Linked DNA regions of Callithrix jacchus. The protein of the gene in region 1 binds, or shares a complex with, the protein of each later gene. Links are inferred from orthologs where the notes say so. Each region holds a gene or a part of one and is shown in the gene's direction. Other genes may lie near its edges.

Region 1 (4,057 bases):
TTAGCATTTCGTCAAACCTTTTTTCAAAGTTTTTAGTTTCTTTACATTGGGTTAGAACAAGTTCTTTTAACTCCCAGAAGTTTCTTATCATCCACCTTCTGAAGCCTACTTCTGTTAATGGCACACAGTCCTTTTCCATCAGGGCTTGTTCTGTTGCTGATGAGAAACTGTAATCTCCTGTAGAGGAAGAGGTGTTCTGATTTTGGGTATTCTCAGCCTTTTTAAGCTGGTTTCTTCCCTTTGTTATAAATTTATCCATCTGTCATCTTTACAATTACTGCCTTTCTAGTTGGGTTTCTGAGTGGACGTCCAGTTTATTGATTCCCACCGCTGGAATCTGAGCAACCCACTGTACCGGCCAAAACAGCGGCATTAAGACTGATGGTGCTCTTCTGCCTGGGAATCTCCTCCCGTTTATTCTGCACGAAGAGCTGCCATGACGAGGCGCCGGCAAAACTGCTGCGCCGGCCACAAGAGTCACGCTGGCGACCCGTAGGGCTCCTTCACTGGGAATCTTCTGGTCCGTGAGTGACGAAAATTCATCTGAAAGTGTGGTGTCCTCTCATTCTCCGTGCTTTCACTGGGAGCTACAATCCTGAGCTGTTAGCGACCAGTCATCTTGGATCTTCCTGCCTTGGCGTCCCAAAAACTTGTAACGTTTTTATGTAGTGAACTTAGTGGCTATGTTGATCACTTTTACCTAATTGTTGTATATCTTCTAATAATTCAAATCATTACCTTGCCAGAGTCTGTTTTCAGATTGTATTCCCTAAGAAACACTTTCCTTGATTCAGTTATCAGGAACTGTTGCTGTTATTACATCTGACGGGAGAATGATTGTGGTAAGTCTTCCAAATTTTCATTCTCTGCTTTCCTGTACGTTTATGGGTTGCAGGTTTTATGTGAAACCTCTGATCTCTAATGCCTAGACGCCACATTACACTGGTAGTGCAGTTTTATTATTTAACTATCACTTTGCTGTCAATCCACATTTTCCTTAGTAAACCTTGTGTCTTACCTACAAGGCTTCTAGGAGCTAGAATAATAGATTCTGCCATCAGAGAGCTCCTAGTCTGCAGACATGTATTAAACCTACTTATCTCCCTCTTCCATTTTTATTTTCTTCCCCATTCAGTACTACATGAATCAGAATTTTTTGAAATTTTGCATACATTTAGGAACTTTTTTGTGATTTAGATACTATTGATACCTACCTATCAACGTTTAAGGCTTGTATGCAATCTTAATACTGTTTGCTTTTAGGTTGTATGACATGTCTTCTATAGGACACTTGATGATTGACTCTCTATATACACATATATATGTTCAATTGGCTTGTTTCTTAAAGTTGTTTCTCCCTTGCTAATTTATGTCATCTAACAAAGATAAAACATTCCTATGGCAATACTTGTATTTGGAATTTCATTTGAGGAATTTATCTCAAGATATTTGGGTGCTTGCTTATTTCTTCACTTACAATTAATACACTTAATTCTTTTGAAAGAATTTTAAGGCTACTAAACTTTCTCTGTTTTCTAACCTTACCTAGTTTCTTAAATAATTTAATCCCCTATTTTTCCATTCTGCAATTTTGTTTTTGTTCATTTTCTTTTTAAGCCTTGCGATTTTTTCCCCTCAGTGGGTCCTTAGTGACTGTTAATAGTCAAGGTTCTAGCTTTGTCATTTACTAAATTTATATCATGTGCCAGGTGCATATGTGCTACATTATTTAATGTACAGCACAACCTTGTGAAGAATAAGTACCCCTCTATTCTAGATTAGGAAACAAGCTCAGAGAAGGTGAGATACTTTCCCAGAGTCACAAGGATAGCAGGTGACAGAACTGAACTGGGATTTAAATTTGGTTTGACATCAAAGCCAAGGCAAATTGCCTGGCTTCTTTCTTAAAATTATATCTGTTAAAATCATGTTTTCTTAGGTGCCTCACATTGTATTTTTTCAAATACGGACAGTTTGACATATTTTAATCGCAACACTTCAAGAAGCCTATTGCTATTAATAGATATTTTCAATTTTTTTAATTTTGTGAAAACCTTAACTTTAAATTTTCTAATTTTTGTTAACATAGTAGATAATAAACTGGGAAATCATTTTTAATTTTAAAAAAGGAAAGCAATATAAAAAGAGCATCTTAAGTTCTAAAGTTCAATAGTTCTTTTTTCTTTGACACATAGTTTATTTGATGGGATAGTTATGTGTAAAATGAAGCCAGGAGGTTATGAATGGGTGTTTATGATAACCATTTGTTAAATAGTTCAAGAAAGACTTCATATTTTCTCTTCCAAATTATAGTTTTCTTTTTATTTCATTCTCATTTTATATATTTTGGTTTTCAGAAGATAAAAGTTTAGTAGCTTGAGAGATTTAACCAATTAAAATCAATGTTAGTTGATACTTCTTCAGAAACTTGGATACCATCTGAGTTAATCTGTTGTGCTAGACCCATGTCTTTTTTTATTCAAAACTAAGCTTTCATAAAACCTTCCCTGATTATTTCCTTCAAATTCTTGTTCTAATTAGTTTAGTCACATTTGTATCTACTGGGAGAATTAAATAATAAATGTATTTGTTATGCATTAAATAATACCTGTGAGACACACAGAACTCTGGTAACTAGTAAGAACTCATTAGGTGTTACCCGTAACTACTAGTTAAATTTTTTATGTATTTATGGGACTGATTTGATTCTCTGAAAAATGGCAAATTATATTTACTTGTGTATAATAGTAGAAGGTAATGGTTTAGTGGTCTGGCTCAGGAGCTAGCCTTTCGTGGTTCATCTCCTGGCTCTGCTACTTACTGCCCATGTGACCATAAGAGACACCACTCTGTGCCTCAGTTTCTTCTTTGAAATGGGAATAATTATAGTATTAAAGGGTAGAGATGAGTTGCGACAATATGTACAATGTGTCTAGCACAATACCTAGTGCTAGTATGTAGTATACAGTGATACTGTTACATTACTGTAGTTGGTATGTATGATTCTTCCTTATTTATATAGAGTTACCTATCATTTTATTTTAAATCTCCTTTGTTTTAGTATATACCTTTGGCTGTCGGACTACATGAGCTTTTATGCTACTTACTTGGAAATACACTAGTACCTAGGTGTCCTTTGTAACTGTCATCAGCTCTGCAAATGAGTGAGATGTGTGGTGCAGATCCCTCCACCCCAGCCAAACAGCCAAGGGGTCAATTTTGTATCCTCGAATACTGTTAGTTATAAAAAAGGCATTTTATTTGACATTGTATAGGTACTTATATTGGAGTAACTAATAACTAAAATGATTGTGAGGTTGAATTTACACTTTCAGGTAAACCAGAATATTTCTCTTTTTCTCCTGGATATTTTCTTTACAGGGAACACTAAAAGGTTTTGACCAGACCATTAATTTGATTTTGGATGAAAGCCATGAACGAGTATTCAGCTCTTCACAGGGAGTAGAGCAAGTAGTACTAGGATTATACATTGTAAGAGGTGACAATGTGTAAGTAAAATATATCTGTTAAAATTATAAATGATACTCCCTTGATTTATGGAGAAGAGGTTTTACCCAGAATAGTCTACTGTATTATCTATACATAGTTAATAGAATCTTGCATTCATTTCTTTTATAAATATGGCTTTTCTTATATTTGCATAAAGTAAGGCAAATCTATACATTTTATGTCAACATTTCTTCAGGTTTCAACCAAAGCTATCTCTACAAATCAAACATTTACCTGAGATTTGCCCATTTTTCCACTAGTTAAATAAGTAGCCTGGATAGAGTCCAGAAAGGGCCCTGCCTTATATTAAATACTTCATTAAAGAGGTTTCTTAAAATGTTCTTAAAAATACCCAGAATTTTAGAGGAACATATTTCTAGAGTCCAAGGCAAAAGTTTGAAAAATGTTTATGAAATCTTTCATTTGAACAATTTTAATACATGCTCAGTCATATAGGTGTATTTATAAACAAGTACTTACCCATTATTTATTTTCTTTTAATTTTTTAGTATATTTGACACACTTAAGATGTCTCTGTGGCCTCAGT
Region 2 (4,613 bases), on another chromosome or scaffold:
ATATGGAGACCCTGTCTGTCCCAAAAAAAGAAAAGAGAGAAACATTTGAGCCTGAGAGACACAGAGAAGGCCAAGTGAAGACAGGGGCAGACAGAAAGCAGAAGACTCCATGTATAAGTCAAGGAACTCCAAGGACTGGCAGCAGCCAGCAGAACCCAGGAAGAGGCACAGGACACACAGAGCCTCCGGAGCGAGCCAGCTCCACTGACAGCCTCAGTTCAGAATCTGGTCTCCTGAACTGTGAGAAAATCACGTTCTGTTGTTTTAAACCTCTCAGTTTGCAGGCGTTTGTTACAGCCCCAGGAAACAACAGCATTTGCCTATTTACTTTGTTTACTGTCTCCCTGAGAGCCACGAATTTTGTGTTTTGTTCATTTCTGTGAGCAGAAGCAGGCACAAAGTATATTGTTAAGTACTTAATATGCGCCAGACCTGTTTTTGTTTGTTTTGAGACAGAGTTTCGCTAGTTGCTCAGGCTGGAGTACAATGGCGTGATCCTTTGCCTCCTGGGTTCAGGCTGGAGTACAATGGCGTGATCCTTTGCCTCCTGGGTTCAAGCGATTCTGGGATTACACCACTGCCGGCTAATTTTATTTTTTTGTTTTTTGTTTTTTTTGAGACGGAGTTTCGCTCTTGTTACCCAGGCTGGAGTGCAATGGCCGATCTCGGCTCACGGCAACCTCCGTCTCCTGGGTTCAGGCAATTCTCCTGCCTCAGCCTCCCAAGTAGTTGAGATTACAGGCACGCGCCACCATGCCCAGCTAATTTTTTTTGTATTTTCAGTAGAGACGGGGTTTCACCTTGTTGACCAGGATGGTCTCGATCTCTTGACCTCGTGATCCACCCGCCTCGGTCTCCCAAAGTGCTGGGATTACAGGCGTGAGCCATCGCGCCCGATCGCCAGGCGCTGTTTTAAGTGCTTTTTACATAGTTTCACTCATTTCATCCTCACAGCAAGCAACCTTTTGGAGCAGACACTACTATTATAACCCATTTTACAGCAAACTGAGGCTCCGAGGGGCGTGGTCAGGATTCCAACCCACTAAATGATGTTCCTGGATAATTACAGAATTAGAAAACTAGGAGTCCGAAGGGCGACCTGAGGGACGTCCCAATCACCACGAGACCTCGCTGTCTCTAAGACTGCAAACGAAAGGCATTAACTGGCTTTGCCCACAGCGTGGAGCCCGAGACCGACGGCTTCACCTGCGCATGCGCTTACCCACAAAACACCCCGCGCCTGGGCGCGTTGCTCCGCCCCCTTTTGCATTACAAGTCGCGACACTTTACGGCTCTATTCCTCGTTCCTCCGGCGGGAACGCGGCCCGCCCGCCCCTTTCGCCCAGAGGGCCCCGCCGTGTTCCGCGTGGATTGGTTGGCCGCCCTTCGAGCCCAGTGCTGACTGGCTCGCGTGTCTGCCACTTTCTTTCAGCCTAGTGGCGCGCGGCGCTGCGACGACCGCCGGGAGCGTGTGCAGCGGCGGTGGCGGAAGTGGCCGGCGAGCCCGGTCCCCGCCGGCACCATGGTGAGGGCAGGGCAACGGCGGGGTCTCATCGGGAGGCGGGAGCCGCAGGCGTTGGGAGCCCTCCGGGCGGGCGCTGACGGTTGGGTTGGCGCGGGGTGAACGTAGAGTCAGAGCCTCGCGTTCCGTCTCCCGGCACGAGGCTGGGAAACTGAGGCTGGAGACTGCAGATGGCTCTAGGACGTCTGTGTCTGAGATTTAGGGTTGCACGGGCTTGTATCCGTAGTACAGCGGGCTCGCTTTACTTAGTTTTTCCCATTTTTTCCCCTCAGGTGGGGAAACTGAGGTCAAAAAAGGTGGGGGCCCGCCAAATGCAAGTTTTTGGGCAGGGAAGGGGCCCCGAACGCTTCGGGCCCGGTCAGACCTCCCAGATTGAAAATTAGAGTGCTGGGAAGTAGGGGGCCAGTCTGAGTTGTGAAACTTAGCTTTAGGAATTTCAGAGCTTGCAAGATGCATAAAATGCTCGCAGCACAGCGTCCTAGGCCTGTTGTTTTCTGTCTGAAAATCGGGCCTGGTGCTGGGGTGTGGTCTTTCTCCTTGGGTCACATAGCATGTCATTCCAGGGGAAGGGGGCATTTTGAGCAGGAGTGGATAAAGTGCATCCTCCCAATACACAGAAGGAAAAACTGAGGCCCAGGTCTCTGCAGGGCCAGATGTTTGTGATTATGGAAGTTCTGGATCTGGGCCAGAAAGTGCCCGTGTCCTCAATGTGCAGATCGGAAAACGAAGTCGGAGCTGGGAATTTCCTGGCCCATCAGCATCTGGCGCTTCTTTTTTCAGGGAGAGAAATCTAGGCCTTTGTTGGGGATGTGACTTCCAGACTCTGTGAGACAGTGGGAGATTTAGTAACCAGGAGGGACCCACAGGGGTGGCTGCATCAGAGCTGAGGATTAGTAAGAGATGCTCCCTAAATCCTGGGGTCAGTGTGTAACCACCCAGTGGGTTCACTTAGCCTGCTTCCTAGACAGAGCCGATTTATCAAGACAGGGGAATTGCAATGGAGAAAGCAATTCACACAGAGCCAGCTCTGCAGGAGACTGGAGTTTCACTCTTGTTGCCCAGGCTGGAGTGCAGTGGCACAATCTTGGCTCACTGCAACCTCTGCCTCCCGAGTTCAAGCTTTTCTCCTGCCTCAGCCTCCTGAGTAGCTGGGATTACAGGCGTCAACCACACCATGTCCGACCAATTTTTTTGTATTTTTAGTAGAGACAGGGTTTCACCATGTTGGCCAGGCTGGTCTGGAACTCCTGAACTCAGGTGATCCACCCACCTCAGCCTCCTGAAAGTTCTGGGATTACAGGGTGAGCCACTGTACCCAGCCTAGGGGATCCGAGTTTTTAAGATGATTTGGTCGGTAGGGGCTCAGGAAGTGGGGGGTGCTGATTGGCTGGAGCTTCCTGAGGTTGGAGATGGAGTCCTGAGGAGGTCGAAGTGAGATTTTCTTGCTGTCTTCTGTTCCTGGGTGGGATTCTGTCCGTGGGTGGGATTGCGGGACTGGTTGAGCCACATTACTCGTCTGGGTGGTGTCAGCGGATCCACCTAGTACAGGGTCTGCAAAAATATCTCAAGCACTGATCTTAGATTTTTATAATAGTGATGTTATCCCCAGGAGCAATTTGGGGAGGTTCAGACTCTTGAGCCAGAGGCTTCGTGACCCCTAAACGATAATTTCTAATCTTGCAGCTTGTCAGTCCTCCAAAGGCTGACTGGTCCCCAGGTAAGAAGAGGGTGTTTTCTGGAAAAAGCTATTACCAATCTTGTCTCAGAGTCAAACTATAGACTGAATTTCTTCCCAAGGTTAGTTCGGCCTATGCCCAGGAAAGAGCAAGGACAGCTTAAAGGTTACAAGCAAGATGGAGTTGCTTAGGTCTGATCTCTTTTTGCTGTCATAATTTCCTCAGGTACAGTTGTTGCGAAGGCGGTTTCAAGTGCAACAATTCAGAGAAGGGAGCCGGCCCCTCCTGCTGTGTCCCCGAGGGCAGAGTTGGAAGGGTCCATCCTGTGACAAGTTTTATGGAAGCAGGATCTTCATTTTTCTTCCCTCTATTATTCCCACTGTGTAGAACGGTGCGTGGGCAAAGTTAGAACTCATTCATTCAGCCCGTCCCCACCTTCTGAACATCCAGAGTCCCCAAGTCCTGGCTATCCAGGCGTTTCCTGGAGGAGTGGCCAAGAATGGACGAGGCGGGCCAGGTGGAGTGGCTCATGCCTGTAATCCTAGCACTTTGGGATGCCGAGGTGGGTGGATCACCTGAGGTCGGCCAACATGGAGACACCCCGTCTCTACTAAAAATACAAAATTAGCCTGGAGTGGTGGGATTACATGCTTGTAATCCCAGCTACTTGGGAGACTGAGGTAGGAGAATCACTTAAACCCAGGAGGTGGAGGTTGCAGTGAGCCTAGATTGTGCCACTGCACTCCAGCCTGGGCAACAAGAGTGAAACTCCGTCTCAGGGGAAAACAAAAAGAATGGACAAGGCCTCATGGGATACACACTTCCAGTTCCCTGTGGTCAGGGTAGGACTAGGAGTGACCTGGGTTAGCAGCCGGGGAGGGCAGTCCTGGAAAGCTTCTGGAATTAGGAGCCACTGGATTTAGTCCTCATGGGTCTAAACCTGAGAACCAGACTCCAGGTGTTCCAAGAAAGCGCAGAGAAAGGAATTCTCTTTTCTGAATTTTCTTGTGATCTTCCCTGAGCCAGGTGATGGGGCCGCTCCCATCACACTTGGCACTTTTTTCTTTTTCTATTTCATTTTATTTATTTTCTGAGACAGTCTCGCTCTGTTGCCCAGGCTGAAGTGCAGTGGCACAATCTCGGCTCACTGCAACCTCCACCTCCCTGAGAGCGATTCTCCTGCCTCAGCCTCCCAAGTAGCTGAGATTACAGGCACGTGCCACCACACCTGGATAATTTTTGTATTTTCAGTAGAGATGGGGTTTCACCATGTTGGCCAGGCTAGTCTTGAACCCCTGACCTCAGCCTCCCAAAGTGTTGGAATTGCAGGTGTGAGCCACTGTGCTCTGCCAACTTTTTTTTTATTTTCATTTTTTGAGCTGAGATCTCACTCTGTCGTCCAGGCTGGAGTGCAG
Region 3 (3,128 bases), on another chromosome or scaffold:
GGAGTTTCGTTCTTGTTACCCAGGCTGGAGTGCAATGACATTATCTCGGCTCACCACAACCTCCACCTCCTGGGTTCAGGCAATTCTGCTGCCTCAGCCTCCTGAGTAGCTGGGATTATAGGCACGCGCCACCATGCCCAGCTAATTTTTTGTATTTTTAGTAGAGACGGAGTTTCACCATGTTGACCAGGATGGTCTTGATCTCTTGACCTCGTGACCCACCCGCCTCGGCCTCCCAAAGTGCTGGGATTACAGGCATGAACCATCGCGCCCAGCTCAATACTTTGAGAATTTTTACAAAACTTAGGGTCCGGCAGAGAACTGCTAACTTTATTTTTGGCAAGATAAGGACTTTTTAAAACAGCTATTTATTATGATTATTTTATAACTTCAAAATAGAGATGAGGTATTGCTATGTTGCCCAGGCACTGCTATTTTGTCCGGGCTGGCCTCAAGTGATCCTCCTGCCTCAGCCTCCCGAAGTGCTGGGATTACAGATGTGAGCCACTGCACCCAGCCAAAGGCTGTTTCTTAAATTTTTGCACCATTCTCCCAAAGAGCACTGGTGTTTTGATACCATTACTCAAATAGCATCTCAAGGGGCTTGAGGATTGGAGAATGGAGAGGATATCACTTGTGCCTGCATCATCAAGAGTAATGCTACCTTCCTACCTTTATCTACATATGGGACTCTGGTTCCAAAGCAATAAATGTTTGAAAATAGCTAGCCTGGGCAACATTCACCATGAGACCCTTTCTCTACAAAAAAAAAAAAAAAAAAAAAAAAAATCAGCTGGGCATGGGGGCACATGCCTGTCATCACAACAGCTGCTCAAGTGGCTGCAGTGAGCATGATCATGCCATTGCACTCCAGCCTGGGCCATAGAGTGAGATCCTGTCTCAAAAAAAAAACAAAAAAAACTGTTGATGATGTTGGGAGTCAGACAGACTTGGACTGAAGTTCCTGTTTGTTCTAAACTCAGGTTTAAAACTTCTCTGAGCCCATGGAAGGTAATAACTACTTCAAAAGATGGCTATAAAGATAACAGAATACAGGTCTAGTCTTTACCAGTTGTTTAATGGTAGCTATTAAGAATAGGTTGGTTTGGCCGGGCACAGTGGCTCACACCTGTAATCCCAGCACTTTGGGAGGCTAAGATAGGCAGATTGCCTGAGGTCAGGAGTTATAGACCAGCCTGGCCAACATGGTGAAACCTCACTTCTACTAAAAATAAAAGACTAGCCAGGCATGATGGCGCACACCTGAAGTCCTAGCTACTCAGGAGGCTGAGGCAAGAGAATCATTTGAACCTGGAAGACAGAGGTTGCAGTGAGCAGAGATAGTGGCACTGCATAGAGTGAGAGTCCATCTAAAAAAAAAAGAATGGTTTAAGGAGAGGAGATGTGGGGTTGAAATTAAACCACTCTGTAGCCATCTTTCCTACTCCAGGCTTAGGAATGTCCCCTTTTGGTTCTACCTTTTCTGACTTCCTCAAGTCCTTGCCTTTTCCCAATCATATTCTCATCCCAGCTCTGAAGTCACCTTTATGTTGACTTTGTTATAAACTAATTTGTTTTTTCTCTCTCTGCCCTTGACAGCATCTGTGGAACCCTCCATTCTGTGGATCAGGTGAGATATAGCAAGGGCCCAGAATTGGTTCCTGGGGAAGGAGAGGGGAGAGCTTAAGGGTTGGGTACTTACATCATATCTCTAGGGTTAATAATGGTGTTCGTATTCCTTTCTTAGTATCTCAACATCAAACTAACTGACATCAGTGTTACAGACCCTGAGAAATATCCTCACATGGTGAGTTGGGGTCTATGGAGAAGAGGAAACACCTCTAAAGCAGGAGGCTCCTGGGTGGTTAGAGGACATTTTTAAGGGTGTTTTCACATTTGTCCATCTTTGTCTAGTTATCAGTGAAGAATTGTTTCATTCGGGGTTCAGTGGTCCGCTACGTGCAGTTGCCAGCAGACGAGGTCGACACACAGTTGCTGCAGGATGCGGCAAGGAAGGAAGCCCTGCAGCAGAAACAGTGATAGCTCCTCCTCCTCTTCCCCTCCCTCTTGCATTGGTGACCCAGAACCCCAAGTCCCAGCCAAGAACCCCTAACTCCCAATACTTAAGGGTTTTTGTTTGTTTGTTTTTTACTAATGATGATTTTGTGGGTTTTTTAAAGGGATGAGTGGATGAGAGGAATAATAGGGAACAGCTCTCCTCTGTTGAGAAGGGGAGGATGAGTAGGCTGGGAAACTTCAAAGCCTTCCCAGTCCCCAGCACCAGCCTTTCTTACTATTTCCCTGGAGATGGTGGGAGAGTTTCCTAAGTATTTCCAGGGCATTCATTTAGGGATGGAAGGAATCTGTCCCGCATCGGGAATAAAATTTATGATGCAAATTCGTGTTCTGGTTTTGTACTACGTTTGGGGCTGGGTGCTGGGTGGTGGAAAAGGATGTTGAATTCATCCAGGCCCTTGTTACTCTCTGTTAACCCAGCCAAGAATCCAACTCAGCTTCCCACTACTCTCCGTGGTATAAAGCGTATAATAACAATTGCACTACACCACGTTTCTCCCAACATGCCTCTGTCTGCATGTTCTCCCTTCGGCGTTTTGCTTATACCATACTGGCAACTGGAGTGCTTGCTGTCTTTCCATTAATGTGACAATGTTATAAGATGCATTTCATGCTACCGGACTTTGACAATCCAACCAAATCAGTACATGTTTTTTGAATATCTATAGAAGATAAATACAGACGGAACATAATTTATATGTTGGAGAAAAGTTATGACTGGCAATTACTAAACTTCATTCACTCATTCAGCAAATATGAGTTGTGATACAGATGAGACTTCTCAGCATTAAGGGACCCTTAGAGACCATCTAGTGTGACCCTCTTTTTTTTTTTTTTTTTAAACAGCCTTGCTCTGTCGCCCAGGGTGGAGTGCAGTAGTGCAGTCTGGCTCACTGCAGCCTCCTCCCTGATTCAAGCACTTCTGCCTCAGCTTCCAAGTAGCTGGGATTACAGGCGCCCACCCACCAGGCCTGGCTAATTTTTGTATTTATTTATTATTTCGAGGTGGAGTCTCACTTTGTCAGCCAGGCTGGAGTGCAGTGGTGTGATCT
Region 4 (4,690 bases), on another chromosome or scaffold:
GGAACAGGCACACTTTTTATAAGCTTGTTAGCTCATTAAATAATTCAGGATGCCCACCCCGTATGTCAAGCCGGCCCCATACCCAGCTACTCCCTTTGGAGAAGATTGCAGCTGCTCCTCAGATGAACGAGGCCTTTAAACTCCTCATGGCTCCCTACCCACCACACCAGTGTTAATCGCTCCATCAGGGGTCTGTAGGAAAGGGAAAGAAATTTGAATCAAAAACTTACTGTTTTTTGAATAATTGAAACAACCAGTAGGGAGTGTGCAATTTGATGTCTTTTGCAAAGAATGTTTTTAGGGACAGGGCTTTTTATCCTATCATGTTTGTTCTTTGCAACTAATTATTTAATTTTAATGGCACTTTTCTTAAAATTTTTATTTACATTATATTTTATATTGCAAGAACTTCAAATACAGCCCTCTTAATAAGTCTGTAACGGTTTTGTCTTTACCCAAACTGAGCTTTTGTAGAAGGATATAAGGAAGTCTCTATTCTTTACCAAATCACATCCAGTTGCTTTCTGTCCCTGATACCAAGGGTTCATTTCTTCTGCCTTTAGCCAAAAGAGGGATACAAGGGAGAAACTCTTTATCTTAGAAAAACATTCTGCATCTTAGATTTTATAACACTTAATGGAGTTAAGGATCTGTGTTGGAAGATCTTATCACTTTGTGTATAGTGTTACAAATCATAAATAAAATAAAGTATAAGTTTTCAGCTGATGAAAGTATGTGACAGGGAAAAAGGAACCAAGTCCTGGTGTGACTGTTCTCTTCTTTTTCCTCTCCAATCCTATTAATAGCAAGAGTATTGAGAATTCATGCAAAATTCCAAACCAAGTTCCCACAGGTAGCACTTAGCTAATGTCTGCACACCATTTTCAATTGGAACTAGTTTATAATGTAACACAATTAACGTCATTATAATTCGGAGTTACTTGAGTGGTTTTAATTATTTTCGTATCAATTAACATTGCCATGGAAACAGTCTCTTGCTAAAATGGCTTAAGTCTTCACACATTTAATCAATATCCAGAGGCAGATTTAAAGACTTGAGGTGTTTGTTTTATTTATTTGTTTGCTTTAAACTATTCAAGGACGTTTCTGGGTACACACGGCAGTTACTTAAAACTGTAAATTCCAGTTTTCTATGACTTCAAGTTATTTTTTACACTGCAAATAAATCCTGCCCAAAAGATCACTTCTAGCTTTCTGGATTTTTGTTTTTGTTTTGTATTGAATTGTATTTGTGTTGTATCCGGATTTCTGTTAGAGGAATTCCTTTGCACCAATTTCGCCACTGGACAAACCAACCAGGATTCTTGGATTTGAGCGCTTTGGCGCGGACCGGCCTTTTCGGCCCCAGCGGGCTGCCGTAGCAGAGAAGAACACTGATTGGCTGAGGCAGAAAAGTACCGCTGCCTCGCCGGTTTCGGTTTCGATTCGATGAAGTCCGCGGAGCCCGGGCTCTTGGGGCACCTGTAGTGAGGATTTTGGATCCCGCCGACGAGGTGAGCCGCGTGGCTGCGCGAGCCGAGCAGCCTCGGAAACGGCCTGCGGGGAGCGGGCTGGGGCTCCGGGGAGGGACTGCTGGGTGGTGGGTCCCCGCGAAATGCCGCTTCCAAGCTCTGTGTGCACGTAATGGCCGGGAGTGATCTGTTGGTGGGCGCCTGGAACCGCCGTCAGCGAGGCGTCTACACTGCGCCGAGAGGAGCGGCACCGTCCCGGCTGGCGTCGATTTGGCGTTCGAGACTGCACGAAGTTGTTCGGAGGTTATCGAAATTCCCCAAGGGAACCCCAGCGCTAATCCCAGGATTCGGCGGGAAAGCGGATCCCGAATCTAGGCCTAGGCTTTGCCTGGATTCTTCCAGGCTTCAGAGAATTGCGAAGCCTACCCTACATCGGAGTGGCTGCGCCTAACCACAGGAATTAAGGACTGGACTAACCTGAATTACCGAGTTGTCTAGTCGGGGAACCCCTTGTATGGTCTTAAGTCCTATCGCCAGAGGTTTTCTATGTGTCCGCGTTTGTGCCCCGGCGCGTGAATAGCGGGCATTTTTGTTTAAGGTGTGTAGGATTAGGATGATTGGAATTACCCCACCCTACTGCTCTTAGTAATACGTGACTGTTGTAGAAAAATTGCAAACATAGAAGACTTTAGTGAAGAAAATAATATTCGCTGAACCCTTTCACCTGCCATCTTTTTCTCCTGTATGTACCAGCGTCTACTTGGACTAGGACTGTTCATGTTTAATTACTTAACAGTGTAGTTTTCCAGTTCCATTTAAAAACTCTTCCTAAATATTATTCTAATTTTGTATCTTCTTTTGAGTGGCTGGCCCATCATTGTGGATCCCAGTGTAGGTCCCATAAATTATTCAGTCATTTCCCGACTGTGGGACATTTGGTTGTTTTTGAATTTTTGCATCATCTTAGCATCCCAGATCATATTTTGATAAACATTTCCCCCCCATCCTGTAGATTATTTCCTTGGACTAGATTCTCAGAAGTGAAATTATCAGATAGATGCTGTCATCCATAAGGTCTTTAGGCTTTCATGCACATTGCTGCAGTGTTTTCCAAAAAAGTTTTAGAGGTGGTTGGCAGTTTTACTTGCTTGAATATTGTGCAGAAATCTTGAGAGGCTTATGTCTGTAGTGTGTATCACTGGAGTTAACTGCAGTAGACTGCCTGAATGTTAGAGCAGGAAGAGACCTAAGTGGTCATCTAGCAAAGCCCCCTTATTTTGCAGATGAGGAACCTGGGGCCATGAGAGGTGAGATGAGTTATCCAAGTCACACAGCCAATTAAGTAGCAGAGCTGGGATTAGAACTGAGGTTTCCTGCCTCCCAAGTGAGTACTCTGTGCTGCATCAGGCAGCCTCTCACTGAACTGTGGCATAGTAGATATTAGAATTTAAAAATATGTTTACATCACTTGGATTATTCTCTTTTTTAAAAGTGTACTAACAGATTTTAATCATCAGAGGGATCTTTAGTACTGAAAAATTGTAAAGTGATCATTTTCATGGCCAAGGCTAGAAATCCGTTATTTAGAATGGCAACCCCTTCAAGGCTTTGACAGTTGTTTTCAGATTCTCTATATGTTAGAATAAAAAAAAAATCCCTGATAAATTATAATCTACACTCCATCATTTGGTTAGATGTAGGTGTTGGTTCTCATTTGCTATATTTGGGAGATTTCTTTAAAACTCCTCACTTTAAGGCCAAAGAACAATGTTGCTGGTTTTTAAATTTTTTTTATTTTAGGGCTTATAGCAGAGATTCTCAACTTCCATGGACTTTTTGGCCTGGACGCATTTGTTGTGGAGGGCCGTCCTGTGCATTGTAAAATGTTTAGCAGCATCCCTGGTCTGTACTCACTAGTATAGTAGTAGCACCACCTTCCTCAGTCATGAGAGTTCATGGTGTCCCCAGATATTTCCAGCTGTCCCTGAGCATGGTGGGGGAGGACAGGGGGGATTGCCCCTAGTTGAGAACCATTTGCTTATAGAAATTATCTGGAGAACTTTATAATGTAATGTATAGTGCCTTTGCCTCAGTAGATTCAGGAATTTGCATTTTAACAAGCATCTCTAGATTTGGATACAGCTGGTTCTTGAATGACAGAAACAGTTGTTTTCTCCGTCTTTGGTGCTCATTATAGAGATTACTTGATTAGTATTTGTTGAAGTACACACTTGATATTACTAGTCACTGTACCCATAGTTTGGGCTGGTGGGGGCTGGACAGGAATTTTGCTTGACACTGGCTTTGAATGTCACTTCCACAGACTTGGACAGTATGCTTAGATACCAGGGTTACCAAGTGAGTGAGATATTTTCCCTGTCCCCAAGAAGCTTAAAATTCACTGTGGGAGATCAGTCAGCAAATGGAAACATTACAAAACGGCCTGATAAGGGCCACGACTGAGAGTGGAAAGAGGTGCTTTCAGTGGACTAACTTCGCCTTTGGAAGAGAGGGAGAGAAGAGGCCCCAGCTGCTCGGGAAGGAGGGATTGTCTTCAAAAGACAGCCCGGCTCTCCACTGTGTCAGAGGGAGGAATTTAGAGAGCTGTCCTCGGTGTCTGATTGCCTCGTCAGACACTGCTATCTTAGTATCACGCTGCAATTACTTGGGTTCTAATGTTGTTTCCTTGCAATTTTTGCTTTTCAATTTTTTCCACGCTAAACTGTTAAGTACTCTAGAGTAGGTAAAAACTTACAGGTAAACATTGCCAAGAAATAAGGGTTTTCATCTCTTCTACTCGGCGGCATAACTTAGATCACATTAGATGCATTTCTTTGTGTTTGGCCATTACATTTCTTTGAGGCTAATTTCTAGTACTTTGTCATGTTAGGTATTTTTTTTTCCCAGCGAAAGTACTCTCCAATTAGGTTTTTCACCACCTGTATTGTGATTCCCCAAGATTTAACCAGGGAATCTTAACGTATTCAGAAAAGCAGCTGTACAGAAAGGGCTTGGGCTTTGAGGTCAACCTTGGCTTTGCTTTCCACCTCACGGGGTTTCTCTATAAATTGCTTATGAATCTAACACTAGTAGCACATAGTTGGATTAATAAAAGTTCATTCTTCACTCTTTTACCAAAAAGAAAAAAATTCTCTGCAGGGCACTTTGTAAAGGTTCTCATACTAGACCTCTCAGTAGCTTCTGACAGAAAATATACT
Region 5 (4,618 bases), on another chromosome or scaffold:
GCCCACAGAGAGGCACTGACCGGGCTCGAGCGGTGGCCCCGCTGCCTCCGCCTCCGTCCTCATGACCCGGGCGGCGCGGGGCGCCCATGGCCCCAGCCCAGAGCGGGCTACAGCTTCCGCTTCGGCTGGGGCGGGAGGGCGGCCGGTGCGTCTCCAGTTCCTCCGCCGCCACCGCCGCCGATGCGGTGGGGAGAACTGGAGGCGGCGGCTGGGCCTCCCCAAGGCCCGCCCCGGCCCTTCTAGTTCGCGAATCTAAAGGCCCCGCCCCTTCCATAAGCCCCGCCCCAAACTTTGATTCTAGACGCCCCCAGTCTCTCGATTTAAGCCCGCCCCGGCCATTTGCCGCTTCTGCGTCGGGTGGCCCCGCCCCGTCGCCCAATCCTCGCGTAGACGCGCTGCCCACCAGGACACGGGCCCCGGAAGCCCCACCCCTTTCCTTGAGGCCCGCCCCGAAGCTCGTGCACTTAGTGCAGATGCTTCCTAGAGGTTCGTCTCTTCAGCAAACTCCGCCTCTGCCGTGACCCGCTCCTTTGCAGCCTTAGGTGTAAGCACCGGTCCCGCCCAATGCATTGCCGAAGCGCCAAACAACTCTCTTTTTATTTTTTTATTTTTATTTTATTTTATTTTTTGAGACGGAGTTTCGCTCTTGTTACCCAGGCTGGAGTGCAATGGCGCGATCTCGGCTCACCGCAACCTCCGCCTCCTGGGTTCATGCAATTCTCCTGCCTCAGCCTCCCGAGAACCTGGGATTACAGGCACACACCACCATGCCCAGCTAATTTTTTGTATTTTTAATAGAGACGGGGTTTCACCATGGTGACCAGGATGGTCTCGATCTCTTGACCTCGTGATCCACCCGCCTCGGCCTCCCAAAGTGCTGAGATTATAGGCATGAGCCACCGCGCCCGGCCACAACTCTCTTTCAACTGCCTTTAGGGATGATCCTGAGCCGGCCGCCGCCCTACTCTATACCTAATTTTATCCGTACGAGATACCTCGCCCCGCTCAGGGCGCCCCTTACCTAGCGGTGCCGGGATCAAAAAATTAAATTGTGAGGGGGAAGTCCTGGCCCTTGGCCCAACCTCCTGCTGCCCCGGGTCTGACGGCCCAGGCCCCGGGTCTGACGGCCCAGGCCCCGGGTTTCCGCCTTGCAGTCCAGCCTGTCCTTGGTGTGGGGTGCTTGGAAGTGCGAGCACCCTCTGCGGCTCGTTGCCGGCCCAAGGGTCGTTGTTTCCGGCGGCCCTCGGGCCCAGTTATCAGCCGTCTCTTCTGGTGCCGGAACTATCGTAGCGGTGCCCTAGTTTCCCAGCCGGCGGGCGCAGCGAAGAGGAAGCGGAGACGAGACCGCACTTACCAATGGGGAAAGGAAGGAGGTGGGCCCTGCGCGCTGCATTTTGGGAACGATTGGAATTCTGGGAGCTGGGCCCGCCATTCGCTGAACTCACGCCTTAGCCGTAGACTCATTTGCCGCCGCACCGAAGAGGAGAAGGAGGCCGGAGCTGGTGAGGCTGGGGACGGGCAAGGGGGGGTCGAGGGGCCACTCGCTGCATGGAACTCTGCGGGGCTCGGGGAGGGAAGAAAGCGGGAAGCTTGGGCCACCCAGACATCAGCGAGCATCGCCTCACTAGCGCCTAGAAGTAAGTTCATTAGCTTCAGCGTGCATGCTTTCACTTTTTGTATCTCTCCAGGTCAGTGTTTTTCAGAGCTTCCAGGCAGTAATCTTGAAGTCATTTCTGGTTGACTGTCTCCTTTCCCCAAATCCTGTGAGTGCTTTTTTCTGTTTATTTTTTCTTTTTGTTTTGGAGTAGTGATGGGTTTCACCATGTCGCCCTTACTAGTCTTGAACTCCTGGGCTCAAGGGATCTACCGGCCTCGGCCTTCCAAAGTGGTGGGATTATAGGTGTGAGCCACCGCGCCCGGCCGATCATTCTTTTAAAAGTTACTTGCATCTCTGCCTCCAGCCCCCTTTCAGGTAGTGGTCCCCTCATGGTTTCCACACTGTTGCAGAAGTTTTAACAAGTTTCTCTGCTTCTAAACCTTACATTCTATCCATTTTATAAATAAATGCTGCCACTTTTTTTTTTTATTCAAAAAAAATTTTTTTTCTTTTAAAGACGGGTTTTCACCATATTGGTCAGGCTGGTCTTGAACTCCTGACCTCAGGTGATCCGCCCGCCTCAGCCTCCCAAAGTGCTAGGATTACAGGTGTGAGCCACTGCGCCCGGCAGTGCTGCTGCTTTTTTCATTACGTCATTCTTTACTTAAAATCGTGCAGTGGTTCCCCACTATTTTCAGTATAAAATGTAGACTCCTAAAGCTGAAAGCAAGGGATCCTCACCAAAGGAACCTGTTTCTTCAACCTCACGTTCTCCTCTGTTAAGTGCACTTACGTTCCAACTTTGAGTCGTTGCTTATCTCAATAAAAAGTTCACTGCTTGATTCTTTTTTTTTTTTAAAGACGGGCTTTCACCATGTTGGTCAGGCTGGTCTTGAACTCCCGACCTCAGGTGATCCGCTCGCCTTGGCCTCCAAAGTGCTGGGATTACAGGCTTGAGCTACCACGCCTGGCTGCTTGATTCTTTTAATTAGGTCAAATCAGGTGATTTCCCTGATTTTCCTCCATGACAAGCATTTCCTGAATAGAGCATATTGTCACTTTGATATTTCCTCATCTTTGATGGTAAAGTAAGTGAGGGGTTAAAGGGCTGAATTAAAAGTGCAGCCCCCTCTCCTAGGTGTTCATGGGTCCTTTGGTCTGTATCTGCACCTTCCATAGGGGAGCCACTAGCTACATATGGCCATTGAGCACTTGGAATATGGCCACTGGGATTGAGACTGGGTTTTTTATTTTAATTTTATTTTGTTTTAAGTAAGTTTAATTTAAATAGCTACATGTGGACATGAGCTGTATTGGACAGCTCAGGCCTATATAATTTTCAAAATGTAATCATGTACAATTACGGTTGACAATAACAATGCAACAAATAACATTCTAACCCCCACTCCGCAACACGAACAGTATTCGCTAATGGTCATTTAGATGAAGATTAAGGGACATAGGGTAGTAGGGACATGTGGTTGATGGGAGAGGCTCTCTTTTCATTTCTATTTTTATCTCTGTCCAGCCCACCATTCCTTCTCACCCCACATCTTGCACATATTTGCCAGATAGTTTCCTCCAAGCCAGGAGCTGAGTTGTTTTTGTTTTGTTTTATTTTATTTTGTTTTTGTTTTTGTAGAAAATGTAGCTTTGGGCCGGGCGCAATGCTCACGCCTGTAATCCCAACACTTGGGAGACCAAGATGGGTGGATCACGAGATCAGGAGATTGAGACCATCCTGGCTAACACGGTGAAACCCCATACTAAAAAAGTAGCCTGACTTGGTGGGGCAGGAGAATCTCTTGAACCCTTGAGGCAGAGGTTGTGGTAAGCCTAGATTGTGCCACTGCACTCCAGCCTTGGCAACAGAGAGAGACTCTGGCTCAAAAAAAAAAAAAAATTCAGTTTTGGCATTTTTGCTAAGTTTTATGGAGGGCTAGGCCTTGAAGGAAGCACAGTATGTGCTGCATGCCTTCTCAGTCTCTGAATGATGAACTGACTGTTGCCTCTCTCATTAGAACTCTTCCTGCCAAGATGTCTATTGGTGTGCCGATTAAAGTACTGCATGAGGCCGAGGGACACATTGTGACATGCGAAACGAACACCGGCGAGGTATATCGTGGGAAGCTCATTGAGGCAGAGGACAACATGAACTGCCAGGTATCCTGCTTTGCACATGAGGCTATGTGGGAGGAATGGACCTGTGTCTCAGAGGAACGGAAAGGTGTGGGTTGGGGGTCTTTGAAAAAAAATTGTTCTCATTCAGCAATGATTTTCTTTTGTTTGTTTGTTTTTTATTATTTTTATTTTTCTTATTATTTTGTTGTTGTTATTTTTCAGCAATGATTTTCTGAGTGCCTAATGCATGCCAGGCACTGTTGTTACAGGCTCTGGGAATGTGGGCATGAACAAGGCACAGTCTTGAGGCAGGAAAGCCATTGGAGGTTTGGAATATTTTACTTTGTCCTTTTTGTTTTTTCCATCCCCAGAGTTGGGGGCCTATTTGAGGGAAGTGCTACTTCAGTAGAATTCTTCAGATTCAGAGCCATTATCCATTTGCCTTCACTTGCCTTGTGGTTAGCAGAATCTTCTCCCATACTGTATTTGTTTCCCTTTTCTCTTGGAGGGAGAATCTCATTTGATTATTGCAACTACCTTGTGAGGTAAGCAGGTTTGGTGATAGTCTTGACATCCATAAAATAGGGAGAGTGAGATTAAAGGACTCATCACTGATAATAAATAATGGAGTAGTTTCCTGATATGGTGTCCTTCTCATGGCACAACTTGGCCTTTTGCATAGTCATCTGAATTTTTTTTTTTTTTTGAGACAGTTTCGCTCTTGTTACCCAGGCTGGAGTACAATGGTGCGATCTCGGCTCACTGCAACCTCCGCCTCCTGGGTTCAGGCAATTCTCCTGCCTCAGCCTCCTGAGTAGCTGGGATTACAGGCACACACCACCATGCCCAGCTAATTTTCTGTATTTTTAGTAGAGACGGGGTTTCACCATGTTGACCAGG
Region 6 (4,057 bases), on another chromosome or scaffold:
CTCCACCTCCTGGGTTCAAGTGATTCTCCTGCCTCAACCTCCCGAGTAGCTGGGATTACAGGTGCCCACCACCACGCCTGGCTAATTTTTGTGTTTTTAGTGGAGATGTGGTTTCACTATTTTGGCCAGGCTGGTCTCAAACTCCTGACCTCATGATCCACCTGCCTCGGCCTCCCAGAGTTCAGGGATTATAGGCGTGAGCCACCACGCCCAGCCCATACATGGTTGTTTAAGTCACTGGGGTTAATACCTACCGTCTAATAGAATTTCTTGAATATAACTAAATAGGAATAAGTGGGGTGCTTTGAAAACATTACGGAGTGCCTTGGAGTTCTCGGTAGATTTGGCTCCTGAAAGAGAAAATGAAGCCTGGACTATATACCAGGGCTGGAAGAAGGGATCGCACAGGGAGAGTCAGAGGAAAGCACTGGACTAGGAGCCAAGACTTCTGAATTTTAGTCCTATATCTTGGCAGGTCGTCTTGCCTCAGTTTCTCCTTCTATAAAATGAGGCGATTTCATTAGGTGATTGCTAGGCCTCTTCCTACAGTGTAGTTAATAGGATTTGAGGATTTTAAGTAGCACCGAACTGCTTTGCATTTAGCAGTTCATTCATGTAACAGTGCTCATTATTGAAGTACCTGCTTTGACTGTGACACTGTGCCAAATATGCCTACTGCAGCATATGAGTGAATAGAGTGGTGAGCGGGCTAAGTGTGGTCTCTTCATTCCTAGTCACCATCTGCTTTCCCAGGCATGCCTCTGTAGAGCTCTTCTCTCTCGTTAGTTATTTGCTGGTTTTGAGTATTGATTGTGTGTGTCAGAGAGAGGCTATGATCCATTTGATTGCCATTGTAGCAGCCTAAGGTAAGAAATAGAAAGTAGATGCATCTAATAAGTCTGTGCCAAGCAGCCATTCTATTGTGTGTCCACTGGGATAAGGCTGACCTTGGTTCCAGTAGGCTCTTGGTTTCACCCCAAAGCCATTTCTCTAACTATCGAGCTAATTTAGGGTAACTTGAAGGAGAGGTTCTGTGGTGATGCAGAATCAGCTCCAGATCATGGTTGAGTTGGGGCCATTTCCACAGGAAGGTGATGAAGATGTGTACGGGGAGGTCCGAGAGGAGGCATCTGATGATGACATGGAAGGGGACGAGGCTGTTGTACGCTGCACCCTCTCAGCTAATGTAAGTTCAATTTGCTCTTTCTTATTGCTGCAAGGCCAGGTTACTTCTGAGTGTTAGTACTTCTGCTTCATGCTTGGGTCCTATTGCATTTATTGAGCCACCTTTTGCTAGACTGACGTGTAATAAACAATGTCTAGAGTTTCTTAAGATTTCAGTTGGTTTTCTTCCTTCCCAAATATGTATGTTGATAAAATCTTGGTCTGATGTGCTTCTGAACTCAATATTCCAGAGTGTTTCCTTCTGGAAAGTCCTCAAAAGAAGGTGGGCTTGTAGGGTGGCAAGAAGAACTTGGATGCAGGGTGGTGGGAAAGTGATCGAGGCTGGCAGAGACTTAGTGAGCTAAATGCCTACTTACTTATATAGCTCGTAGCCTCAGGTGAACTGATGAGTTCCAAGAAGAAGGATTTGCACCCTCGGGATATTGATGCATTTTGGCTACAGCGGCAGCTCAGTCGTTTCTATGATGATGCCATCGTGTCACAGAAGAAGGCAGATGAAGTACTGGAGATTTTGAAGGTATGGCCAAGATAACAATAGTTGTATGTTTACTATGTCTTAGCACATGGGGACAGCGTATGAAGTGGCAGATGGCTTTGTCCTTAATGGTGGTGTTACCTTCTCTCTGCAGACGGCCAGTGATGATCGGGAGTGTGAGAACCAGCTGGTACTGCTGCTTGGTTTCAACACCTTTGATTTCATTAAAGTGCTGCGGCAGCACAGGATGATGAGTGAGTATATGATCGGCTCTTCCTGCAGAGTAGGTACATATGTGTGCATATGTGAGACAGAGATTCTTGTTTTCACAGCTTTTGTGCTTGTTTCTTTTATTTTTCTTCTTCTACCTTAAGAATGAAGGTTGATTTTTGCATTTCTTCCTCCTCACTGTTCCTTTCTTCCTTTTGTTGCGGGTAGTTTTATACTGTACCTTACTGGCCAGTGCACAAAGTGAAGCTGAAAAGGAAAGGATCATGGGAAAGATGGAAGCTGACCCAGAGCTGTCTAAGTTCCTCTACCAACTTCACGAAACAGAGAAGGAGGATCTGATCCGAGTAAGGATTGGGTTGGTTTATCTGTCTGATTTCTCAGCTAACAGTGGCTAGAAGATTGCAGCATGAAGCTAAATTCGTATTAAAAGTGGAAGTTGAAAAAGTGATTTTTCTAAATTATTTGGGGTTTATCAGTACATACACGTTAAAATCAGCATATCCTCAGTTGGTTTGGTTGTGAGAGCAGTGATCTGCTGCTGTCTTTCACCAGCACCAAGAGGACCTTTATTGTTTATTTACACAGTAAACACGTGGTGTTTACTAAATAGAGTAACAGAATACATGTGCTTGCTCAACAGAACCCACGTTTCTACCCCTCAGGGGCAGCCTCAATTCTTAATTATAGAATGTCTATTTCTGGCAACATCTTACTGTGCATTGTCCCTTTAAATGTGTTTGTTTGCTTTGATCACTCTGGTGGTCCCCAGGTAAAGCGTTGTCTTTCTGTTTGCAGACTTACTAGTCAGCACCTGTGACTCAAGTATGGCTAAGCAGGGACAGAAAAGGACAAGAATCTATGATACTGATGAATTGTTTCTGTGATTTTTATCTTTCTCCACCACAGGAGGAAAGGTCTCGGAGAGAGCGAGTGCGACAGTCTCGAATGGACACAGATCTGGAAACCATGGATCTTGACCAGGGTGGAGAGGTAGGATCCAGGGCGATTTATTTCCCAGATCTCGATGGATGGAAAACTCACTTGCTCAGCTTGCTCACCTCCTTTGCATTTTTGTCTTTCACATTCCCAGGCACTGGCTCCACGACAGGTTCTGGACTTGGAGGACCTGGTTTTTACCCAAGGGAGCCACTTTATGGCCAATAAACGCTGTCAGCTTCCTGATGGATCCTTCCGTCGCCAGCGTAAGGGCTATGAAGAAGTGCATGTGCCTGCCCTGAAGCCCAAGCCCTTTGGCTCAGAAGAAGTAAGTGCATTGCTTTCTTCAGTTCACTTCCTGGTTTGGATTTCAACCATTGACCAGAATGTAGCCTTGTCTCTTATATAGTTTATTTCAAGACTGAAAGCTGCAACAGAATTTTTCCATTCTGATTTTGAGCCTGGGGTGACAAAATTGACATCTGGTCTGACCTTTTTTTTTTTTTTTTTTTGAGATGGAGTTTCGCTCTCATTACCCAGGCTGGAGTGCAATGGTGTGATCTTGGCTCACTACAACCTCCGCCTCATGGGTTCAGGCAATTCTCCTGCCTCAGCCTACTGAGTAGCTGGGATTACAGGCACACGCCACCATGCCCAGCTCATTTTTTGTATTTTTAGTAGAGACCGGGTTTCACCATGTTGACCAGGATGGTCTCAATCTCTTGACCTTGTGATCCATCCGCCTCGGCCTCCCAAAGTGCTGGGATTACAGGCTTGAGCCACCATGCCCGGCCTTGGTCTGACCTTTAATGGAGAGTTATGCAAAGAGATTGCCTGGGAACAAAATCCTGGCAATCCCACAAAAACATCTGCTCAAGGATGCTGCCAACATGATATCAATGGCACTTCTTTCCTTCTAGCAACTGCTTCCAGTGGAAAAGCTGCCAAAGTATGCCCAGGCTGGGTTTGAGGGCTTCAAAACACTGAATCGGATCCAGAGTAAGCTCTACCGTGCTGCCCTTGAGACAGATGAGAATCTGCTGCTGTGTGCTCCTACTGTAAGCGCCACACCACCTGCTTTTTTTCTTATAGAATATGGTTTAGAGTTTCTGTAGCAAGATTGTTTTTTTAATCTCACCCACCGCCTAATTCTCTACCCTTTGATGGAAGAGAGGTTAAATGGGAGGATAAAGTGCCCAGGACAAGCTCTATTCTCTGCTTGGGAAATAA
Region 7 (4,057 bases), on another chromosome or scaffold:
CCCATTCTGTTTGTTGCTGATTCATTCTAATGATGGTTTCTTTTGCTGTACAGAAGCTCTGGAGTTTAATTAGATCCCATTTGTCTATCTTAGCTTTTATTGCCATTGTTTTTGGTGTTTTAGTCATGAAGTCCTTGCCTGTTCCTACGTCCTGGATGGTTTTGCCTACAGACCATTTTCTTTTCTTTTTTTTTTTTTTTGAGACTGAGTTTTGCTCTTGGCACCCAGTCTAGAGTGCAGTGGATCTTGGCTCTCTGCAGCCTCTGCCTCCCAGGTTCAAGCGATTCTCCTGCCTCGGCCTCCCAAGTAGCTGGGATTATAGGTGCGTGCCACCATGCCTGGCTAATTTGTATTTTTAGTAGAAACTGGGTTTTACCATGTTGGCCAGGCTGGTCTTGAACTCCTGACCTCAAGTGATTCTTCTGCCTCAGCCTCCCAAAGTGCTGGGATTACAGGCTTCAGCCACCTTGCCTGGCTGACTGTTTTCCATCATAACAGACTATATTTACTTTAAAGAAAAAATTTTGGTGGGGCAGGGTGGCTCAGTCATGACAATTGCTTCAGTCTGGGAGGCGGAGGTTGCAGGGAATCAAGATCTTGCCACTGCACTCCAGCCTGGGGGATAGAGTAAGAATTTGTCTCCAAAAAAAAAAACAAAAAAACTTTCAATAGGTTTTTGGGGAACAGGTGGTGTCTGGTTTCATGTACAAGTTCTTTAGTGGTGATTTCTGAGATTTTGGTCACCCATCACTCGAGCAATGTACACTGTATCCAATGTGTAGTCTTTTATCCCTCACCCCCCCCACCATTTCCCCCAAGTCCCCAAAGTCCATTGTATTATTCTTACACCTTTGCGTCCTCACAGTTCCCTATATTTATTTTATGTACAGTTACATGGTTTTATTATGGGAAAACATCAAATTTTAAGATAATTTTTATATTAGTTTGGAGTTGAGAGATGGGAGAACTGTTTCCTAGATAGTTATCTTTGCTTCAGCCAAAATGGATGATGAAGAAAAGAGTATTTGGATTTTACCCTTCTACCTTATGAATTTGAGTATTGTCACAGCATAATTAGAGTAACAAAAGGAAATTGTTAAATAAATTGATAGAGATTTGAATACATGTGGTTTTTGTTTTGTTTTACCCTTATTATTATCCACATCAGCGAAGTATCTGCAGAACTGTAGTTCTTATGAAACTCAATTTTTTTTTCTTGTTTCCATTATCAAATCAGTGGTATTTCAGACACTCAATGTTAAGGACAGTTCTGTAATGTGAGCCTGGGTAGGATTCTCCAAGGGTCCATTTAAGGCTCTTTAAGGCCATCACAGATAGATCACAGGATTCTATTAGGAGAGCTTTAGCTGGAAGAGCTTGGCTCAAGGGGTCCTACAAAGGGGCTTTGGGTTAATTGGAGTGTTTGATTTTCAGGCTCTATCTAATGTTCCTCCTCTCCGGAACTACTTTCTGGAAGAAGACAACTATAAGAACATCAAGCGTCCTCCAGGGGATATTATGTTCTTGTTGGTCCAGCGTTTTGGAGAGCTGATGAGAAAGCTCTGGAACCCTCGAAATTTCAAGGCACATGTATCTCCCCATGAGATGCTTCAGGCAGTTGTACTTTGCAGTAAGAAGACTTTTCAGATCACTAAACAAGGTAAGGAGCAAGTCATTCATGTTTCCCTTGACTTCAGGACAACAAAACCAGTTTAATGAGCAAATTTATTTCCACATGGCAGTGAATTTTTTTTTAACTCTATCACCCAGGCTGGAGTGCAATGGTGTGGTCTCAGCTCACTACAACCTCTGCCTCCCTGGTTCAAGCGATTCTCCTGCCTCAGTTTCCCAAGTAGCTGGGATTACAGGTGCCCACCACCATGCCCAGCTAATTTTTGTATTTTTAGTAGAGAGGGGAGTTTTACTTTGTTGGCCAGGCTGGTCTCAAACTCCTGACCTCGTGATCCGCCTGCTTTTGCCTCCCAAAGTTCTGGAATTACAGGTGTGAGCCACTGTGCCTGACCTCTAATGAACTATTTTGACTGTTTCTGTCTCTCCAAACCCAATTTGTTATTATCTTATGAGTAAAGTGGACACTGTAACTTTGTACCTGAATCTCATGTGGTATCCTCTAGTGTCCGTATTAGTTTATTCAACATTCAGTCATGGTGCTAGGTTTTAGAGCAGCGATAAGAAACATGATTTTTCCCTTTGAAGAACTTCCAGTCTAGTGGGGAAATTGTTATGTAGAAAGGTTGAGTGTGCTGGCATAAGCCTATGGTCTGAGCTACTTGAGAGGCTGAGGCAGCAGTATTGCCTGAGCCCAGGAGTTCAAGGCCACAGTGAATTATGATCATACCAGTGCACTCTAGCTGGGTAACGGAGCAAAACCCTGTCTTTAAAAATAAATAAGCAAATTTCAACTATCCTTTTTTTAACAAAAGGTAATTATAGGGTGTTATGTGCTGTGCTGTGGGAGGGAGCATGGAACAAGGACCCCCTCAACTGAACATGTAGGAGGTAGATGAGAGGTCAGAGTGGAGGAGGAGAACCCTGAGTTTTAGGTAGAGTTAGAGGCAGGTTGGGGTGGGGGCAGGGCATTCTAGGTAGAGAGGACATGGTGGGCAGAAGTGAAAAGTGCCTGGCATAGACGGACTGCAAGTAACTGGATCCGTGGACTCCAGGGATCAATGGAGAGTTGAGGTGTAGATCTTGAGGGAGGGACCTGATGGCCTGGTTTATAAGCCACCATAAGGAGCTTGGATTATATCCTGATAACAGCTGGGGTCATTTAAGGCTTATTATTATTATTATTTTTTGTGATGGGATGTCCCTCTCTTGCCCAGGCTGGAGTACAGTGGTGTGATCTTGGCTCACTGCAACCTCCGTCTCCTAGATTCAAGAAGTTCTCCTGCCTTAGCCTCCGAGTAGCTGGGACTATAGGCACCTGCCACCACACCAGGCTAGTTTTTTTGTATTTTTAGTAGAGACAGGGTTTAACCACGTTGGCAAGGTTAGTCTCGAACTCCTGACCTCAGGTGATCTGCCCACCTCGGCCTCCCAAAGTGCTGGGATTACAGGTGTGAACCACTGTGCCTGGCCTCACTGAAGGCTTTTAACAAAGGTATGATATCAGAGTTGTTTTTAAAACATTATTCTGGCTGGGCATGGTGTCTCAAACCTATAATCTCAGCACTGCGGGAGGTCGAGGTGGGTGGATTGCTTGAGCCCAGGAGTTAGAGACCATCCTGGGCAACATAGTGAGACTCTGTATCTACAAATAATTTTTTAAAATTAGCCAAGCATGATGTCAGGTACCTGTTGTTCCAGCTACTTGGGAGGCTGAGGTTGGAGGATCGCTTGAGCCTGGGAGGTAGAAGCTGCAGTGAACCATGTTCACACCACTGCACTCCAGCCTGGGCAACAGAGCGAGACCTCCGTCTGTAAAATAAAAACAAAAACATTATTCTGGCTGAGGATTGACTTAGAGGGGATGTTGAGTAGTGACTTTTAAGAGTCTCTGTTACTTAAGGAGAAATAGGGGGAATCAAGGTGGTAAGGAATGGGGCCCATGGAGCACTTATTTTAGGGTTAGTAGGAAATAAGATATACTTTGGGTTGGATAATATATATTGATCAGAAGCCCATGATTTAGTCTCAGCTGAGCAGAAGTTATAAGTCATTCGAGCTTGGTAATTGATGGTGTTTAGTAGTTTACAACGTGGCCAATAAAATCTTAATCAGGTGCCAGGCACGCTGGCTCATGCCTGTAATCCTAGCACTTTGGGAGGCCAAAGTGGGAGGATTGCTTGAGCCCAAGAGTTCAAGACCAGCTTGAGCAACATAGTGAGACAGACCTTCTCTCTACAAAAAATTTATAAGTTAGCTGGGCATGGTGATATCCACCTGTAGTCCCAGCTATTTGGGAAACTGAGATGGAAGGATTATTTGAGCCTGGGAGCCAGAGCTTGCAGTGAGCTGAGGTTGTGCCCAGCCTGGGTGACAGAGTGAGACCCTTTATCGGGAAAAAAAAATCTTCATCTGGGTACCCCACCTT

Evidence for each region.
Region 2: LSM8 (region 1) and LSM4 share a complex: the UniProt entries of both Homo sapiens proteins name them as parts of the precatalytic spliceosome. The link is inferred for Callithrix jacchus from reciprocal best matches to the Homo sapiens genes LSM8 and LSM4.
Region 3: LSM8 (region 1) and LSM2 share a complex: the UniProt entries of both Homo sapiens proteins name them as parts of the precatalytic spliceosome. The link is inferred for Callithrix jacchus from reciprocal best matches to the Homo sapiens genes LSM8 and LSM2.
Region 4: LSM8 (region 1) and LSM6 share a complex: the UniProt entries of both Homo sapiens proteins name them as parts of the precatalytic spliceosome. The link is inferred for Callithrix jacchus from reciprocal best matches to the Homo sapiens genes LSM8 and LSM6.
Region 5: LSM8 (region 1) and SNRPD3 share a complex: the UniProt entries of both Homo sapiens proteins name them as parts of the U4/U6-U5 tri-snRNP complex. The link is inferred for Callithrix jacchus from reciprocal best matches to the Homo sapiens genes LSM8 and SNRPD3.
Region 6: LSM8 (region 1) and SNRNP200 share a complex: the UniProt entries of both Homo sapiens proteins name them as parts of the U4/U6-U5 tri-snRNP complex. The link is inferred for Callithrix jacchus from reciprocal best matches to the Homo sapiens genes LSM8 and SNRNP200.
Region 7: LSM8 (region 1) and USP39 share a complex: the UniProt entries of both Homo sapiens proteins name them as parts of the U4/U6-U5 tri-snRNP complex. The link is inferred for Callithrix jacchus from reciprocal best matches to the Homo sapiens genes LSM8 and USP39.

What each region holds. Positions count from the first base shown.
Region 1 is NC_133512.1:88,804,386-88,808,442, forward strand, and holds part of LSM8 (LSM8 homolog, U6 small nuclear RNA associated), read left to right. Parts: intron 1-801; coding exon 802-842; intron 843-3,381; coding exon 3,382-3,509; intron 3,510-4,057. UniProt on the Homo sapiens protein: Plays a role in pre-mRNA splicing as component of the U4/U6-U5 tri-snRNP complex that is involved in spliceosome assembly, and as component of the precatalytic spliceosome (spliceosome B complex).
Region 2 is NC_133523.1:17,038,481-17,043,093, reverse strand, and holds the start of LSM4 (U6 snRNA-associated Sm-like protein LSm4), read left to right. Parts: upstream 1-1,460; 5' UTR 1,461-1,522; coding exon 1,523-1,525; intron 1,526-4,613. UniProt on the Homo sapiens protein: Plays a role in pre-mRNA splicing as component of the U4/U6-U5 tri-snRNP complex that is involved in spliceosome assembly, and as component of the precatalytic spliceosome (spliceosome B complex).
Region 3 is NC_133505.1:39,303,745-39,306,872, reverse strand, and holds the end of LSM2 (U6 snRNA-associated Sm-like protein LSm2), read left to right. Parts: intron 1-1,599; coding exon 1,600-1,630; intron 1,631-1,747; coding exon 1,748-1,807; intron 1,808-1,914; coding exon 1,915-2,040; 3' UTR 2,041-2,398; downstream 2,399-3,128. UniProt on the Homo sapiens protein: Plays a role in pre-mRNA splicing as component of the U4/U6-U5 tri-snRNP complex that is involved in spliceosome assembly, and as component of the precatalytic spliceosome (spliceosome B complex).
Region 4 is NC_133504.1:50,820,048-50,824,737, reverse strand, and holds the start of LSM6 (U6 snRNA-associated Sm-like protein LSm6), read left to right. Parts: upstream 1-1,437; 5' UTR 1,438-2,070; intron 2,071-4,690. UniProt on the Homo sapiens protein: Plays a role in pre-mRNA splicing as component of the U4/U6-U5 tri-snRNP complex that is involved in spliceosome assembly, and as component of the precatalytic spliceosome (spliceosome B complex).
Region 5 is NC_133502.1:195,106,300-195,110,917, forward strand, and holds the start of SNRPD3 (small nuclear ribonucleoprotein Sm D3), read left to right. Parts: upstream 1-1,406; 5' UTR 1,407-1,502; intron 1,503-1,688; exon of another isoform or gene 1,689-1,763; intron 1,764-3,618; 5' UTR 3,619-3,634; coding exon 3,635-3,760; intron 3,761-4,618. Other genes in the region: protein GUCD1, read right to left, coding at 21-274. UniProt on the Homo sapiens protein: Plays a role in pre-mRNA splicing as a core component of the spliceosomal U1, U2, U4 and U5 small nuclear ribonucleoproteins (snRNPs), the building blocks of the spliceosome.
Region 6 is NC_133515.1:6,142,251-6,146,307, reverse strand, and holds part of SNRNP200 (U5 small nuclear ribonucleoprotein 200 kDa helicase), read left to right. Parts: intron 1-1,087; coding exon 1,088-1,186; intron 1,187-1,549; coding exon 1,550-1,702; intron 1,703-1,814; coding exon 1,815-1,914; intron 1,915-2,098; coding exon 2,099-2,235; intron 2,236-2,797; coding exon 2,798-2,881; intron 2,882-2,981; coding exon 2,982-3,155; intron 3,156-3,747; coding exon 3,748-3,885; intron 3,886-4,057. UniProt on the Homo sapiens protein: Catalyzes the ATP-dependent unwinding of U4/U6 RNA duplices, an essential step in the assembly of a catalytically active spliceosome. Plays a role in pre-mRNA splicing as a core component of precatalytic, catalytic and postcatalytic spliceosomal complexes.
Region 7 is NC_133515.1:27,393,523-27,397,579, reverse strand, and holds part of USP39 (ubiquitin carboxyl-terminal hydrolase 39), read left to right. Parts: intron 1-1,434; coding exon 1,435-1,660; intron 1,661-4,057.